Cricetulus griseus: one gene and its partners. The protein of the gene in region 1 interacts with the protein of each later gene in a pairwise test. Links are inferred from orthologs where the notes say so. Each region holds a gene or a part of one and is shown in the gene's direction. Other genes may lie near its edges.

Region 1 (2,416 bases):
CATTAAAATAGAAGAAAGTGCTGTGATTTAAATTGAATTTTTAGCCAAAGGGTATGGAATTGAGATTCAACAGATAATTTAAATTCCCATTAAAGTAGCCACTGGAGCTACTGGACACACCAGTGGGTGAAAAATGCAGAGGGATAGTGGAATCTGACTGTTTTCATGCATTTAAAACAAGTTTGTAGAGACATACAAGTTTCTGCATCGTCTTCAAAGTACTCAAACCTAAGAAAACTTTGCATTTACTCTAATATTATTTATGCCAACCAATGCATGCAGTCCTTTATGGAAGTTGAGATCAGATGTAATATTTGAAATAAACACAATACTGTCATGGTCATCATAATAAACTCTTTTCTTTTTATCCAGAAAGATATTTTTGGTGGTAATATGAATAACACTGAAACATATACAGTCTGTTGAATTCGTGATAAATGCCATTTTGTCCAACCTTCTTTACAGAATTCTATGTATTTGCCCTTGCTCAAACTGGAATCCATCATTTTAACTGAACTCGACCTCATTACCTATATTCAGAAGTATCACAGACAAAACATGATCTCAAATGACTGTTTATTCATTTATAGAAATTAATGAAGCAAACACTCATTTCCCAAATGAACATGTTTTCATGGGAAACCATTTTATGTTCAGATGTTGAAACAAAGGAAAACACCCGAGTCTTTCACCTTATGTCATTTCGATTCTTTGGATCATAAAAGTTGAAAAATTTTAGTTTCTTCTGTAAATCTTTTCCTTCCTAAAATTTTCTATTGCTAATGTACAAAAAGAATAGAATTACATTTCAGTGAGTTACATATAACTTGCCATTATTCAAAGTAGTTTGCTTCAACTTACAGAGGCAATTCCAGGAGACAATACTAAGACAAATGTTTGTGCATTGGCGGTTACAACTAGAGCGAGTTCATAGCCTTCCAAAGTGTCTGCTTGGGTTGGTGTAACTTTACCAAGGATCCTATTAAAATCCGGTCACACTGATTTATAGTTACACTCAATCGATGGAAGGCATTGCAGGGATCATCCAGTTTTTATGAGAGGCAAGAGCCCTACTTCCTGGACATAATAGAGTTCAGATGCAGCCTAAAACAACAAGGAAGATGACTCTGTATACAGAACTGCCACTCTCTGAGCATATATAAAGAGACAAGGCCAGTGGGTGTCAGAGTCACACCGAGCTGCTCACATCTTCTCTTAGACCACCACCGCTCTCTAACTCTCACCATGGCCAGCCGTAACAACTGCTCTGCAAACTGCAGCTCGGGATCACTGAGAAATTCCTGCCATATCCAAGCCAACCCTTCTATTGCCCTCTGTTCTACAAACATGGGCTGTGGAGAGGTCTTCTGCATACCCAGCAACTGTCAAGATCATACCTGGGTCATGGACAACTGCCCCGAGACCTTTGGAGAACCTTCCAGTGGCCAGCCAGGCAGCCATGAAGCCAGCAGCTATGAGAACTCTTGTTGCTCTTCTGCATACTATGTGCCCAGGCCCTGCCAGGGCTCTGGCTATCTTCCTGCTTCATCCATCATCTCTGGTGTCTGCCTCCCAGCATCCTGCCGACCTGTGAGCTATGTGTCGAGCAGCTACCGGCCAGTGAGCCCTTTCTTCAACAACTGCCATTCTGTGGGCTGTGTGTCTGGTAGCTATCGCCCACTTCCTTGTGTATCCAACAGCTGCCGACCCCTGGGCATTGTCCCTTATGGATGCAGGCCTTCGGGTTGTATGTCTTATGGCCCTCAAGCCATTCACATTGTGTCAAACAGCTTCAGACCTCTGCAGCCTGCCTCTGGTAGTTGCCAACCAGTGACCCGTGTGTTTGGCACTTGTCGTCCATCATGTTCTGCTCAGTGAGGGAGTAGTCTCCTGGTGAACCACAATGGTGCGGATCCAGGATTAAAATCTCAACACTCTGGACTCTTCTTCCTCTCTGAGTATTAACTGCTTTTTCTTGTTTGCACTGTATCTGAGTTAATGCAAACTTCCTTTCACATTGTGAATTGCTTTTATCTTTCCTTGATGTAAAACCTCTGCCCATACTGTAGTTAATATTTCTCAAGTAGGAGCACTACGTACCTGATATAATCCATATTATAATAAATGAGACTAATTCAGAATTAAGAATCCAGTGCATTTATTCATCTTTCATTACATTATGCTAACCCAAAAATGGGGACCCTCAAATGCTTGCCAGGTGATGCTGTACCATATGCTTTTATCTGACTCAGGGTAATGGTTAAGCAATTTAGAAGCATAATGACTTCAGACAAATATGAGGGTTGAAAATAATGGCCTTTGGGTAGGTTTTGGTCTAAAAGGAAACTCAACAGTAACCTCTTACCTCTGATTTCTAGGGCACATATCTCTGGCAGAATGTCGTCCAGTTGTAAAG
Region 2 (3,565 bases), on another chromosome or scaffold:
CGGGTCACTCACAGTCCTATGCAGAGGGAATTAACGGAGAACCCTGAGAGGTTCCCGTGTGCTAGACGTCCGCATACATTTCATCAAACCTCAGCTACCGAAGAAGAAACAAAGGAAGAGAAGTGATTCATTCGGCTTCTCAGTAGAACCATAATTTGGAAGTGAGTCTCTGCCTCCAGGGCCAACATTCTTTTGTGGTTTTAGGTTTCTGCAAGCACCTTTCTTGGGGAAATGCCTGATTTCTCTGTCGTCATGCAAGTCCTAATGGGCCTGTGCTTTGGGAAGGGGGGTGGGAGCTGATCTAGAACACAAGTTCTGTTGCCTTGAACACAGTGCCACACCTGAGACTTGAAACAAATGAGCAAGGATGTAGAGAAATGGCTGCCCTCCCTGCCAGTCTATGGGCAGACCTGGGTCTCAGTGTCCTTGACCTTTTTTGTTTACCTTCCTCCAGGAACTAAAGCTTCCCACCTTCCGCGCCCACTCCCCACTCCTGAAGAGCCGTCGGTTCTTTGTAGACATTCTGACCCTGCTGAGCAGACACTGCCATCTGTGCCCCTCAGCCCGGCACCTGGCCATCTACCTACTGGACCACTTCATGGACCAGTACAACATCACCACCTCCAAGCAGCTGTATACTGTGGCCGTCTCCTGCCTCCTGCTGGCCAGTAAGTAGAAACTTTTTCTTCTGCAGCCGGCTGAGTTGTTGCCAAACCACTACCTACTTCCATGGCCTTTGTCGTTCTCCTTTGCTGGGTGGGAACTGTTTCAGTAACTGCCAATAGTTTTTTGCACCTATAGTATACCAGAGAAACTAAGGATATTCACAGTTTGATCTTAAAGAGTCTACATGGTGACTTTAGAAGACAGTCTTGGTTCTCAGTGTTATCAAAGCTCAGAGAAGCTTAGGAACTTATTTTGGGTTGCCCAACTAGTGTATGACAGACAGTATTTGAAACTGTAGCTGCTTGATGCCAGGCCTGTGTCCTTGATCTCATGTTTCCTGCCTCTTTCCATGAGGGCTCTATATGGCCCTCACCTCCACTGTTTTTAGAGGTGTCTAGAGATGAAACTGCTTGATTTGGACCTAAGCTGGATCCATGATGTTGTCACCAGGCCTGAGCACATTCCTTGTGTAGGATCTACACTTTCCAAGGAGGCTTCACTGAAAACAGCCAACCTCTGGCCATCTGTTCTTGGTGAAGATTCCTCTATACTGTACTGTAGCTTGGATGAGCTCCTGACCACACAGGTCTACTTGTCACCTTGCCACTTAAAACCACTCCATTCAGTATAATGGTCAGACCTCAGGTTCCTTTCCCTCTGGATTCATGTTTCTTTCCTCATCACTCTCTGGATGGCAGCCACACTGGTGAAGCTCTGTCCCATCACAGACCTCTGCCTTCATTGCTTCTTGCTGCATTTGTGAACTCGGCACACGGGATCACATACTTAGAATTAACACCCACTAGTGATGGAGAGATAGCCCAGTGGGTAAAGTGCTTGCTGTGGGTTTGAGTCTCTGGTATCTACATAAATGCCAGGTGAATGTGGCAACCCACCTGTCATCCCGTCACTGGGGAGGTTGGGACGGAATCTGCAAGGCAAGCTGACTAGTTAGACTAAGCTGTGGATTCAAGTGAGAGATCCTGCTTCAGTAGATAAGGTGGAAAACAATCTAGAAAATATCTCATGTCAACCTCTAGCCTTCATAACACATGTACACACATGTGTCTATACACATGCAATCCTGTACTCAGAGAATTCCAGAGAGGGAAAAGAGCTTGGAACATGATTTTCCCTCATAAGAGCATTTGTAGAAACAGCAAAATGAATGAAGCTTAGGAACCTCTCGGAGGAACCAGGGTTCCACTTTCCTGTGCTGCCCATAGTGCAGGGAAGTAGAATGTTCCCTTAAACCCTGAGCTCAAACTAGCCAGCTGCCACTGAGGACATTTCCTTGGTACCCAATATTACTATTTTTACCCTTAACTTATAATCCGGTTTTATGTTCACCTCCATGCTGTGTTACTACTCTGTGCTATTAAATATTTCCTAGCTATACGATAGGAGGATAGCACCCACAAATTGCTGGGATTTGGTCTGTTCTTGGCAAATTGCTCTAAGCCCCATGGCTTAAACTCTCTCTCTCTCTCTCTCTCTCTCTCTCTCTCTCTCTCTCTCTCTCTCTCTCTCTAAGCCCCCATGGCTTAAACACATACACACTCATGAACGACACACACAGGCATACTCATGCACACAGCAGTTTTAGAATTTTGTTTGATTGTTTGGTTGTTTGGTTGACTAGATGGCTGATTGATTTTTGAGACAGGATCTTGCTGTATAATCCCAGTGAGACTGGAAGTCCCTTTATAGATCAGGTTGCCCCAAACTTTGTGATCCTCCACAGTGTTGGGATTACAGCCATATGTCACCGTGCCTGGTGGGAGAGTGGCTTTCAAGTTTCCCACACGCTGCCTTATTTTCACCTAGGACCTCTACCCTATTGTAAGTTGTCTTTAATGTGGACCAGCTAGAATTTGCAAGTTATCAGTGGGAGCCAATTTTGTTCAGAGCCCAGCCTTTTGTAACATCTTATCATCTCAGGAAGAGATGATGAGGCCTGGGAGATGTTTCCATCAGAGAAGGGCAGCACAGGCATTGTGTTTCAGGCACACCATGGCCTTTGGCCTGTTGCTTCTGTGATCTGTGGACTGCAACGAGGCCTACTGGGGGCAGGAGACTTATATTTCCTTGGGGCTATGGAGCTCTCCCCCAGCATCTGTCTGGGGAGCCAGGATGTAAGGCTCACACTGGAGACACCATTGTGCTTCTGTCGCCATGGTGGAGGAAGAGAGCCTTCCAGATGGAGAGGCAGACCCCCGCCCCCACCACACACACACATTTTGATGGGCCCCAGCCAGCCTGGGAAGGCAGAAATGGAGTTTTCAGAACACCTGCCATATGTTCCAGGGCTCAAGGAAAGAAAAGTTCCTGTGATGGCCTGAAATCCTATTCACCCCTCCTCCCTTTTCCTGGGCTCACTGTCAGCCACAGGGTAGGTGGGGTGGGTCACCTTGCCTAGGGAAGCTTGGAGTTCTGCTGATTCGGTGCCAAATTTCTCTGAGATAAGAAAACCTGGCACCACTGTCCCCACCTGTGAATTCAAAGGGTTTTGCTTTAAAAAAAAAAAAAGATTTTGTGTGTGTGTGTGTGTGTGTGTGTGTGTGTGTGTGTGTGTGTGTGTGTGTTTATGTGTACATGAATGCAGGTGTCCATGAAGGCCAGAGGATTGTATCTCCTTGGAACTGGAGTTATTGTGAGTCACCTAATGTGGATGCTAGGAGCCAAAGTTCTTCGTTGGGGGGACCCAATGAAGAACTGAACTGGAGTCATTTGCAAGAGCAAACACTCTCTTATCCACCACTGAGCCATCTTTCCAGCCCCAGATTTTCAGGGTTTTATGTGTAGGTGTGTGTGTGTGTGTGTGTGTGTGTGTGTGTGTGTGTGTGTTCTTGCACGCACACACACACATTTGTGCACTTGCATATGGAGACCCAAGCTC
Region 3 (4,330 bases), on another chromosome or scaffold:
GAGTCACAGGGATCAAACTCAGGTTGTCAGCTTTGTTGGTAAGTGCCTTTACCTGCTGAGTTTACCAGCCCCAGCCCCCAACAATTCTTTTTTTCTTATAAGGCAGTCCTGGGGCTGGGATGGAGCTCAGTTGATAGCATTTGCCTAGCTGACACAGGCCCTAGGCTTAACCCCAGAACCACAGAAACAGCACAGTTGCCTGCACTTGCAATCTCAGAGCTTGGGAGGCAGCAGGGGCAGGGAAACAAGAAGTTCTGGGTCATACTCAGATACATATCAAGTTGGAGGCTGATCTGGAACACAGGAGACCCTGACTCAGAGAGCTGCAAGGATACTGGGGCTGTGTTAAGCAATTACAGAATTGCAGAATTACCCTAGATACTCCACGTTGGCCTCCACTTTCTGGGATTCCTGTAGCTCTAGCCCAAGAAGCCCACCAGGCTCCTCTCTATGCAAGACTCTTACTGTCCTGGATTTATTCGTAGGGCTGTCCCCATTCCCCTGAGTGGCCTACCAGTCAAGCTCTTTGCTCCTCCCAGGGGACCTATCTTCCACACCAACTCTGCCTTTCCTACAAGGCCCAGCCTTGGGCTTTCCTGGGGCCTGTCCTCTTCCTGGCAGGTCTCCAATCAGCCATTTCTGTCTGGCCCAGGCCCTTTGGCACTCAGCAGCCTGGCTTTTGTTTCTGGCTAATCTGTTCTACTGCTAAAAATCTCTATTCATGGACCATGACAATTCCTCGAAGGTAGGGGTAGCTGAAACTAGGAGGCCTCTTGCACCTCCACAGCCACCAGCCTGCTTCACCAGCCCATGCCACATACTTAGCTCATGCCCAATGCCCTTACTTTGAATGTGGCTTTTAACTCTTGCTAGACACTGTACTCCCCATCTGCTTTCCTAACCTCTTCCGGAGTGCCTCTGTCCCGCCTAACCAGCCCCTTAAAATTCCTCTAGATTCAGTTCAGCGTGATACCATCTCCTGGCTAGCTCAAAGTGGATTTACATCTATTCTTCCCCTACCTTCAGCCAATCTCCTGCCTGGTACTCGCCCTTGAACATTTATTAGATTTAGTATCCCACCCAAATCTGGGGACTGTTTATCTTTACCCTCCCAACTATCTTTCAGCTTGTTTGGAGTCCTGGCTGCCTAGCGTGAAAACAGTGAATGTACAAATGTCCCGATCCAGAAGCCGACGCTATGCTGTAAACGACCTTGAACGCGCGCCCCGCAGGCGCCTTCTTAACTGTCGGTGGCCTTAGGTACGCAAGCCCCATCTCTAGAACACCTCGCCAGGCGCCGCCAGGGCCCTGGGGGGTGGGAGGAAAGCAACCGAACAAGCAAGCGAGGCCCTGGGGGAGGCGGGCTATGGTGTCATATGATTGCCTGGTCACATGATTCCTAGACATGGGGTGTGGGGAGAGAGAGGAAAGGGAGGAGGAGTGTGGATTGAGTAGAAAAGAAACACAGCATTCCTGGAGAGTCCCGCCTCTATGTAGACAAGTAGCCAATGGAAGCCCCGGATTCCCGACCCAGGGCTAATGGAAACTGAGGTGGGCGGGCCATCGGGCAGCCAAGCCCTAGTCCGAGAGCTGACAGCCAGATGCCTCCCAGGGAGTGCGGACCCCGAAGCAGGTAGGAGGACCCGCAGCAGACATCTCCCTGGCTGCTGTCCAGAGGCCTGGCCAGGCTTGCTGTGCAACTGAGGCTGCCCCGGAGCCTCAGCTCAGAGACGAGAGAAGTCCTGCCTCTTGAAACTCCCCTCGGGGTTTCAGATGCACTAACGAGGGTTTGTCATTTGGGAGGAGTGGGAACAGTTGCTGTAGACACCCCCAACAAGAGGCTCCCCTGCCCAGCATGTCGGAAAGCTGCAGGGCTTTCTCCAGAGCAGGAAGCGCCCCACTCTTGGGCCAGCTTCATCTCTCTCGGTGCCTCCCACCTCTTGTCTCCAGGTCCCGGCACTTTCTCATTCTGGTGCCGCCAGTAGTCTTCGCGGCGACTTGCAGTGGGTGGGGATCTCCCGCCCTTGGTCCCAGAGCTCAGAGGAGTTGGGAGCAGGAGTTGGGCGTGGTGGCAGAATCCCTGGGTTGTGTCAGCCGTACTTCCTTTATGGGGGGCGAGAGAGCTAACTTCCGCCTCTCCCCGCCACTTTTCCCTGCTCCTCTGCTGGATTGGCTCACCTTTTGGGAAATTCATCTCCCCTTGACACTCCGGAGTCGGGGGTGCCACCTAGTGGAAGATCTCGAAGCTAGGGCCTTGAAAGGCTCCTCCAGTCCTCTCAGGCTATTTCAACAGAGTGGTGTAGAGGTGGCCAGAGGTCACCACTCCCTAACCCTAATGAAAGGGATTAGGTCTCCCCTACCCCATTCTAATCTGGCCAGGAGATGACCTCTGGGATATTCTTTGAGAGGGTGCTTGAAAACCTAGAGAAGGAAGGGGAGGGGGCACAATGAGGGACAGATCCTCTATGTAGCCCAGGCTGACCTCATAGTCACCCTGTAGCCTGGAATTTGTAATCCTCCCACCTTAGCCTCCCAAGTGCAGGGATCAAAAGCATGTTTGTCATGCCTATCGGAAGCTTTGAGGTCTGGATGTTGGGATTTTGCCTTCCATGGCCACCAGTATTCAGAGTTTGAGGCACAGGAAACAATTTCTGAGGCCCTCAGCAATTGATCAGTGGCAGATTTTACACCGTCCCTGTACCCACCCTTTCTTTTGTAGATTTTTTTGTTTTGCTTTTGTTTTTGAGCAGGATCTTTTTGTCCCTGGCTGTCCTGGAACTTGCTATGTAGACCAGACTGGCCTTGAACTCACAGAGATCCACCTGCCTCTGCTTCTGGATGCTAGGATTAAAGGCGTGTGCCACCACCGTCTGGCTGTACCCACCCTATTTCTATCCTGTGTAGGTCACCTGCCTGGGAAATGTTCTGCCCGCTTCCCTCTGCTTGGACCTCTGGCCTCTGGGATTTGGGGTCCATTCCCTGGCAATGTTCAGGGATGTCAGTTGACATAAGAATCCAGGTCCAATATCTGCAGTCTGTTTTCTCTGACTTGATACCTGGGCATGGATTTGAAAAGTGAAAGTAATCTGATCACTGCTTTGCATAGTTGTGCAGAGAAATACAGTAAGGAAGGGCAAAGTGGCTCCCTGGAGGGTCTTTGAATATTGCTGTTTTTGCTGCCCCAGGCAGGGGAGTGTCACTCTGGGTTGCTGGGTAGGCCAGCTGTGCTGGGGAAAGACTTATTAGGGAAGTGAGAGACTCGGTTCCTCCTGCTAAGGCAGAGGGCCAGTGAAGAAGTACACTTAACTTTGCTCTTGCAGCTGAGTTTCGATTTCTGAGTAGGGAGAAACAGGTGGTATGTTTGAGGAGTCCAAAGGAGTCCTGGTGATGCTGAGGAGGGCTGGTTATGAAATTAGCTTCAAGGCTAATCCAGCCACCATGTGCCCTTCCCCTGGGTGGGGAGGGGACAGTTGTGGGCAGGCAGTGGCTGGCCTGTGGGAAAGGCAGCCCAGACTCCCCTGGCCACTGCACTTCCGTTTTCACAACTTTCTCAACCCCTGGTTTCCCATATGATCATGTGATTGACAACTCTGTTTCCCCAAGGCCTTTGAAAAGTACATGTGGGAGTTCAGTGCCAGGCAGCGAGGTGAGGCTGGCTGTCCTCTTGTGGCCGCTGAAGTCTCCTCCCAGTTAGCCCACAGTCCCATAAATCAAAGCCACATGGCTTCCTGACTGTCATAACTCCGCGCCTCTCCAGTCGCCTATAGTGTCAGGTGTTAGGCCAAGTGTGATGACATGATGGACACTTGTGTTCATGCCAGCATTCGTGCTCACCGTGTGTGCAAGCTGGTGCAAGTGTGATGCTTACAGTGTAGGATGCTGACTCAGGCAGCTGCTTGCCTTCCTGCTCACTTGTTGAGAAGTTTCAATAAATCCAAGGCATGTCATGCCTTGGCCAGGGCATGGGGAACTGCATGGACTCAGAATAGAAGGTGGCATAAGCTTAAGATGGCTGCCAAACTTTCCTTGGCATTTGCAGGCAGACCATGTGGACCCTGGTAAGCTGGCTGGCCTTCATGGCAGGCCTGGTGGCTGGAACACAGTGTCCAGATGGTCAGTCGTGCCCTATTGTCTGCTGCCTGGACCCCGGAGGAGCCAGCTACAGCTGCTGCAACCCTATTCTGGTGAGTGTCTCACGCCCCAGCTGGCATCCTGGCCTTTTGAAGGGTTACCTTGGATTGGCCAGAAGAGGTCTGGCACAGATCCTCTGGTATATGTCATTGCTTCTTTCCAGGACACATTGCCTATGGTAATGAGCGATCGTCTAAGT
Region 4 (4,346 bases), on another chromosome or scaffold:
AGGGCCACCAGGCATTAGTGGCGCCATGGTGGGCGGGACATACATACACAGAGTAGCTCCCAACCATGAAGGGTGGGGGGAAACGAGGCAATGGACATGCCTAAAGAATCTTCCAGGCAAGTGAACCAGACCAAAGGCTGCCTCGGAGTTCAAGAAGGCATCTCAGAGAGGGTGACATTTGTTAGTCAATTATTGGGTGCCAGCCTAGGCTCTGAGACACAGTAGTAAAGAAAACTAGTGAGGGAGAAGGGATCTGGAATTCAATCTTGTTTGTATTTCAAATTTAAAAAAAAAGGCAAAAAAAAAAAGAAAGAAAACTAGTGAGCACTGGGTCTCAAACTCTCACCTTCAGTCCCATAGGAAGCAGGGATAAACTCAAGGTGGGGTACATGACAGCGCAGGAGGGCCATAAGAGCAGCCTCTGGGAGGAGCTGTGTGGAGACAATACCCTTCACTTATTCTTTAATCTGAGAGAGGTGTGATGTAGAGGCAGAGAAAAGAGGTGGAAAGACAAGGCTGGGTGGCACAGGTCAAAACAGGGGGCTACAATAACAGGATAGGAGCTCAGGACTTGATGGTATTGCCAACTCAAAGCTGAAGAAAGTTCCTGGCAAAAAGGGAAGGTATACAGGATCTTAGCACTATTACCAAGTTCAATCAGGAATCTTTAGTCTTCGGGCAGGCCCTGTGCCACTCATCTCCTGGGATATGTGTTTTAAAGACATTTGTTTTCTACAGAACTCCATCATGTCAACAGTGGACTGAAAACTTCTCATGGCTTTCCTTTCACTCCAGGCTCTCATCTGGCTGGGCCCTGGGCTCAGGAGGAGCCAAAGAAACATTTGGTCCTTTGGCTAAGTCTGAAACTCATTCCCCAGGAGCACATGTTCCTATTAACCTTGCTATCTCCTTTTGACCTCGGCATGCCTGTCACCTGCTCAGGGAAGCCTCTGCTAACCAAATTCAAGGAAGAAATCCCCAAAGATGTCCCTTCTGCAGGAATGCCATTCCCTCCATCTTCTAAGCCCACTGCCCATCTGGTTCCTCACTCTTTTCCCTGTCAAGCTGCAACATTCTGAGTTTATCATTATTATTATGTTTTGAGACAGGGTCTCATGCAGACCACAATGGTTTTTGAATTCACTATGTAGCTGAGGATGACCTTGAACTGACTGAGCATAGCCACAGGAGGCTAAAGCCACCTTTCAAAGCAAGTCTAGCCCAAGAATGTCACAGAGATGGTGGGTAGAATCCTAGACCAGTAACGGGAATCTGGAGTACATCACGGGACCTCCTCAGTCATGGTTCACTGGCAGCAGTGACATGGGGCTCCACGCATAAGACAGGCTTACAGATGAAGCTGTGCTGTGCCGCCTCATCCCAGGGCTCCCTAGGCCAATTAGTGACATATGCCCCGCCCACGCGCACTCGCAACATTCATTCATATATCAAACCCCTTCACGCCTGCTCAGTGCCTGGCACAGACGCTGGGGCCTCAAAGTCAGGGCCGGGGACGGGGAGCGGGTGCGCAGCCAACAGATGTCACGATTCGAGGTGAGTTGTCTTCACACATCTTCGCTCTTAATTTTGAAACTAAAAACGACGTTCCTCCTTGAGCCGCCGAACGCTGAGAAAGGGGAAGTGTGGGAAACAGATCTGCTCTTTATTTCTAAAAACTTCTTTTGCAACGTTTCCTAAAATCTGAACCTTTCACTGCTCTCAAATGCAGCTCGGTGCAAGGAGCTAGGAGGAGCCAGAGGCCGGCAGCATCACGCCACGCCCCGGGCTCCGCCACCCAGATACTTCCCGGTCCCAATCTCGTCTCCTCCGTGCCTTGCTCTCGAGGGTCGCGGTCAACCCATGTCCCCACGCTTCTCCCTCCATCCTGGTCCCCAGGCGGCCGGCACCCCGGCAGCACACCGCATTCATTGTCCTCCTCCAGCCACACCACACCAAGCTCAGCAGAGTTCCGCCCTCTTTCCACTCTCCCATTGGCTCCAGTTGCCCAACCGCGCAGGGACCCGCCTAGCATAGTCCTGCACGCCCCGCCTTTGCCCGAGGCCCGGCTAGGGGCGGGGGCTCTTCTGGCCCCACCCTTGGGGGCGGGGCCAGGCTCGCGGGCGCTCGGGCGCTGTCTCGGCGGGGCTCGGCTCGGCTCGGCTCGGCTCGGTCTGCAGCTCGGGTGGGGGTGGGCAGCTAGGGTGACAGCGGCGGTGGCAGAGGCTGCGGCGCCGGGTTGAGCAAGTGGCGAGCGCGGAGCGGATAAGAGGAGGAAGTGGAGCGGCGGCGCAGAGCTCCAGAGTCCGCCGTCGGGCTAGGTCCGCCCAGATTTGCAGAGCGAGCCGTGTCGGGACCTGGGCAGACTTTTTTGCCGTGCTCTGGCCGCTGGCTCCCAGCCTGCCCTGCCCTGCCCTGCCCTGCTGGTCCGAGTTCGGCGTTCCGCGCCTGGACTTTACCAGCCCGGTGGTCCTCAGCTGCTTAATCCGGAGCTCCAAGGCGGGACGCGCCCGGCCCTATCATACCAGCCCATCTTCTCCCGTGTGCTCTCCGTTCCCGGTCCGCGCAAGGTGGTCCCAGCTTCCGAACCTGAGTGTAGAGGAGCCGGGACGCCCACCGGCCTCCGGCTCCCGAAGAACCAAACCTTCAGCTGCCTTGGACCGGACTGCTCCGGACTTGAAACTGTACTGGCGCCTCCCGGGTCCAGCGCACCGTGAGGGGTCCCAAGCAGTCAGAACAGTCAGACTGAACCCCTGGTCTGGTGCTGCGAACCGAAGCTGCCACCTTCCTCCGACCGAGGCTAAGGACTTGGGGGTGCTTGCACCAAAGAGAACACAGGGGCTTCTACTGCCCCAGTCTCCAGCGAGCCGAGATTGCAGGTGAGAGCCCCGGATGCGCGGCGGGAGCGGTCCCGGGAGCCGAGAGGCAGGGCCCCGGTCAGTGGAGGGCGTGGAGGGGACACCCGCAGAGATTCAACTATTTAGGAGAGGGCGTGCAAAAGATAGTAGAGAGAAACCGGCACTTATTGAGTGCCCATTGTGTGCAGGTCCGAGCCCCGCCCTTGCACACACAAATTGTTCCTTATCCAAAGCTCGGTGCTATCCCTCCTTGAGATTAAAGCCGTTGTGATTGTTATGGACGCGGACCGATAGGGGAAACTAAGTCGTGACCGGGTTGAGGACCTCTGCTCCCCGTAAGGAGAATTAGACGGGAGAAGATAGAGAAAGAGCAAAGAGGGAGGGGAGAAGAAAGGAAGTAGACAGCCTGCAAGCAGGAGATTGGCAAGATGGGGGCCACGGGGACATCCAAAATCCAAGTACTGATCGATCTTGAAGCTGAAGAGGTACTTCTTTTTAGCGGTGACTCCTGAATTATGGACATGCCACCTGCCAGGAAAAGCGACCCAGCGTTGAGGGCAGAGGTGGGAAGCTTCCCAGTATCAAAAGATCTCTTCCTGTGGTCCAGGTTGGAGGGACAACCTGCTACCCAGAGTCAGGGGCCCCAAGTTCCTGAAGTATTCTTATCTGTTAGGGACTCACCATGTTGGTTCCCACGCCACAGCCATGTGAAAGCAGGAATTGTAGACCCTTCAGAACTCACCCACCTTGCCTTCTGAAGACTTGGGGGAAGCACAGGTGCTCCAAGGCCCTAAGGCCAGTGAGTGATTGAGCCAGAAGTAGACCTGAGAAAGATTTCTAGACATCCATCAGGGGTCCTGGCCCCTTCCCAGCTCATACCTTTGGAGTTTGTGACTGGGGTGAATATACCCCCAGTATGAGGCTGGGGTGAATATGTGTGAGGCTGGGGTGATCATGTATGTGGCTGGGGTGACCATGTGTGTGGTTGGACTGGGGTTCAGATCAGGCCTGGCCACAGTCTCTATTACTGCAGAGGAACCTGCAAGACCCTTCTGGCCCAGGAGAGAACTTCTCCAGGTCTTAAGGTTAGGGGACAGCTCTGGGGACACAGTCCAGGTGTCTCGATTCCCAGGCAGAAGTTCCTCTCACTGCCTCTGGATCTGTGCAGGAGAGAGGTATTGTGAAAGAACATTTGGCACAGACTCTGTGGGCTCTTGTTCTGGGTGGGGAGGGGGAGGCATATGGCCTTGGTCTGGGCACTGTGGCCTTGGCTGGGACTACTACTTCCCCAGGCTCCCTGGAGTCTGGGGGAACTACCATGGAAAGCCCCTGGGAGATAGAGCAGGGTCTTAAAGACTAGAAGGTTGTTCCTGGGGTTGGAGGGGATTCAGGGGGCCTAGAAGGTAACTAAGGGGCTTGGGATTCCCCCTCCCCCACCTCTGCCTGAGGATCCAAATCCTCATAATAATCCTTGATCTAAACAGAGCTCTC

The links.
Region 2: the proteins of keratin-associated protein 26-1 (region 1) and Ccnjl interact in binary tests that used the Homo sapiens proteins (3 or more experiments, as listed by UniProt). The two-hybrid records come from large-scale screens. The link is inferred for Cricetulus griseus from reciprocal best matches to the Homo sapiens genes KRTAP26-1 and CCNJL.
Region 3: the proteins of keratin-associated protein 26-1 (region 1) and Grn interact in binary tests that used the Homo sapiens proteins (3 or more experiments, as listed by UniProt). The two-hybrid records come from large-scale screens. The link is inferred for Cricetulus griseus from reciprocal best matches to the Homo sapiens genes KRTAP26-1 and GRN.
Region 4: the proteins of keratin-associated protein 26-1 (region 1) and glycerophosphodiester phosphodiesterase domain-containing protein 5 interact in a two-hybrid assay, tested with the Homo sapiens proteins (2 studies listed by BioGRID and IntAct). The two-hybrid records come from large-scale screens. The link is inferred for Cricetulus griseus from reciprocal best matches to the Homo sapiens genes KRTAP26-1 and GDPD5.

What each region holds. Positions count from the first base shown.
Region 1 is NC_048597.1:8,799,572-8,801,987, forward strand, and holds keratin-associated protein 26-1, read left to right. Parts: upstream 1-1,245; coding exon 1,246-1,878; downstream 1,879-2,416. UniProt on the Homo sapiens protein: In the hair cortex, hair keratin intermediate filaments are embedded in an interfilamentous matrix, consisting of hair keratin-associated proteins (KRTAP), which are essential for the formation of a rigid and resistant hair shaft through their extensive disulfide bond cross-linking with abundant cysteine residues of hair keratins.
Region 2 is NC_048600.1:58,232,123-58,235,687, forward strand, and holds part of Ccnjl (cyclin-J-like protein), read left to right. Parts: intron 1-454; coding exon 455-668; intron 669-3,565.
Region 3 is NC_048600.1:115,672,849-115,677,178, reverse strand, and holds the start of Grn (progranulin), read left to right. Parts: upstream 1-1,528; 5' UTR 1,529-1,601; coding exon 1,602-1,633; intron 1,634-4,039; coding exon 4,040-4,184; intron 4,185-4,294; coding exon 4,295-4,330. UniProt on the Homo sapiens protein: Secreted protein that acts as a key regulator of lysosomal function and as a growth factor involved in inflammation, wound healing and cell proliferation. Regulates protein trafficking to lysosomes, and also the activity of lysosomal enzymes.
Region 4 is NC_048596.1:100,169,393-100,173,738, reverse strand, and holds the start of glycerophosphodiester phosphodiesterase domain-containing protein 5, read left to right. Parts: upstream 1-1,535; 5' UTR 1,536-1,554; intron 1,555-2,150; exon of another isoform or gene 2,151-2,876; intron 2,877-4,346. UniProt on the Homo sapiens protein: Glycerophosphodiester phosphodiesterase that promotes neurite formation and drives spinal motor neuron differentiation.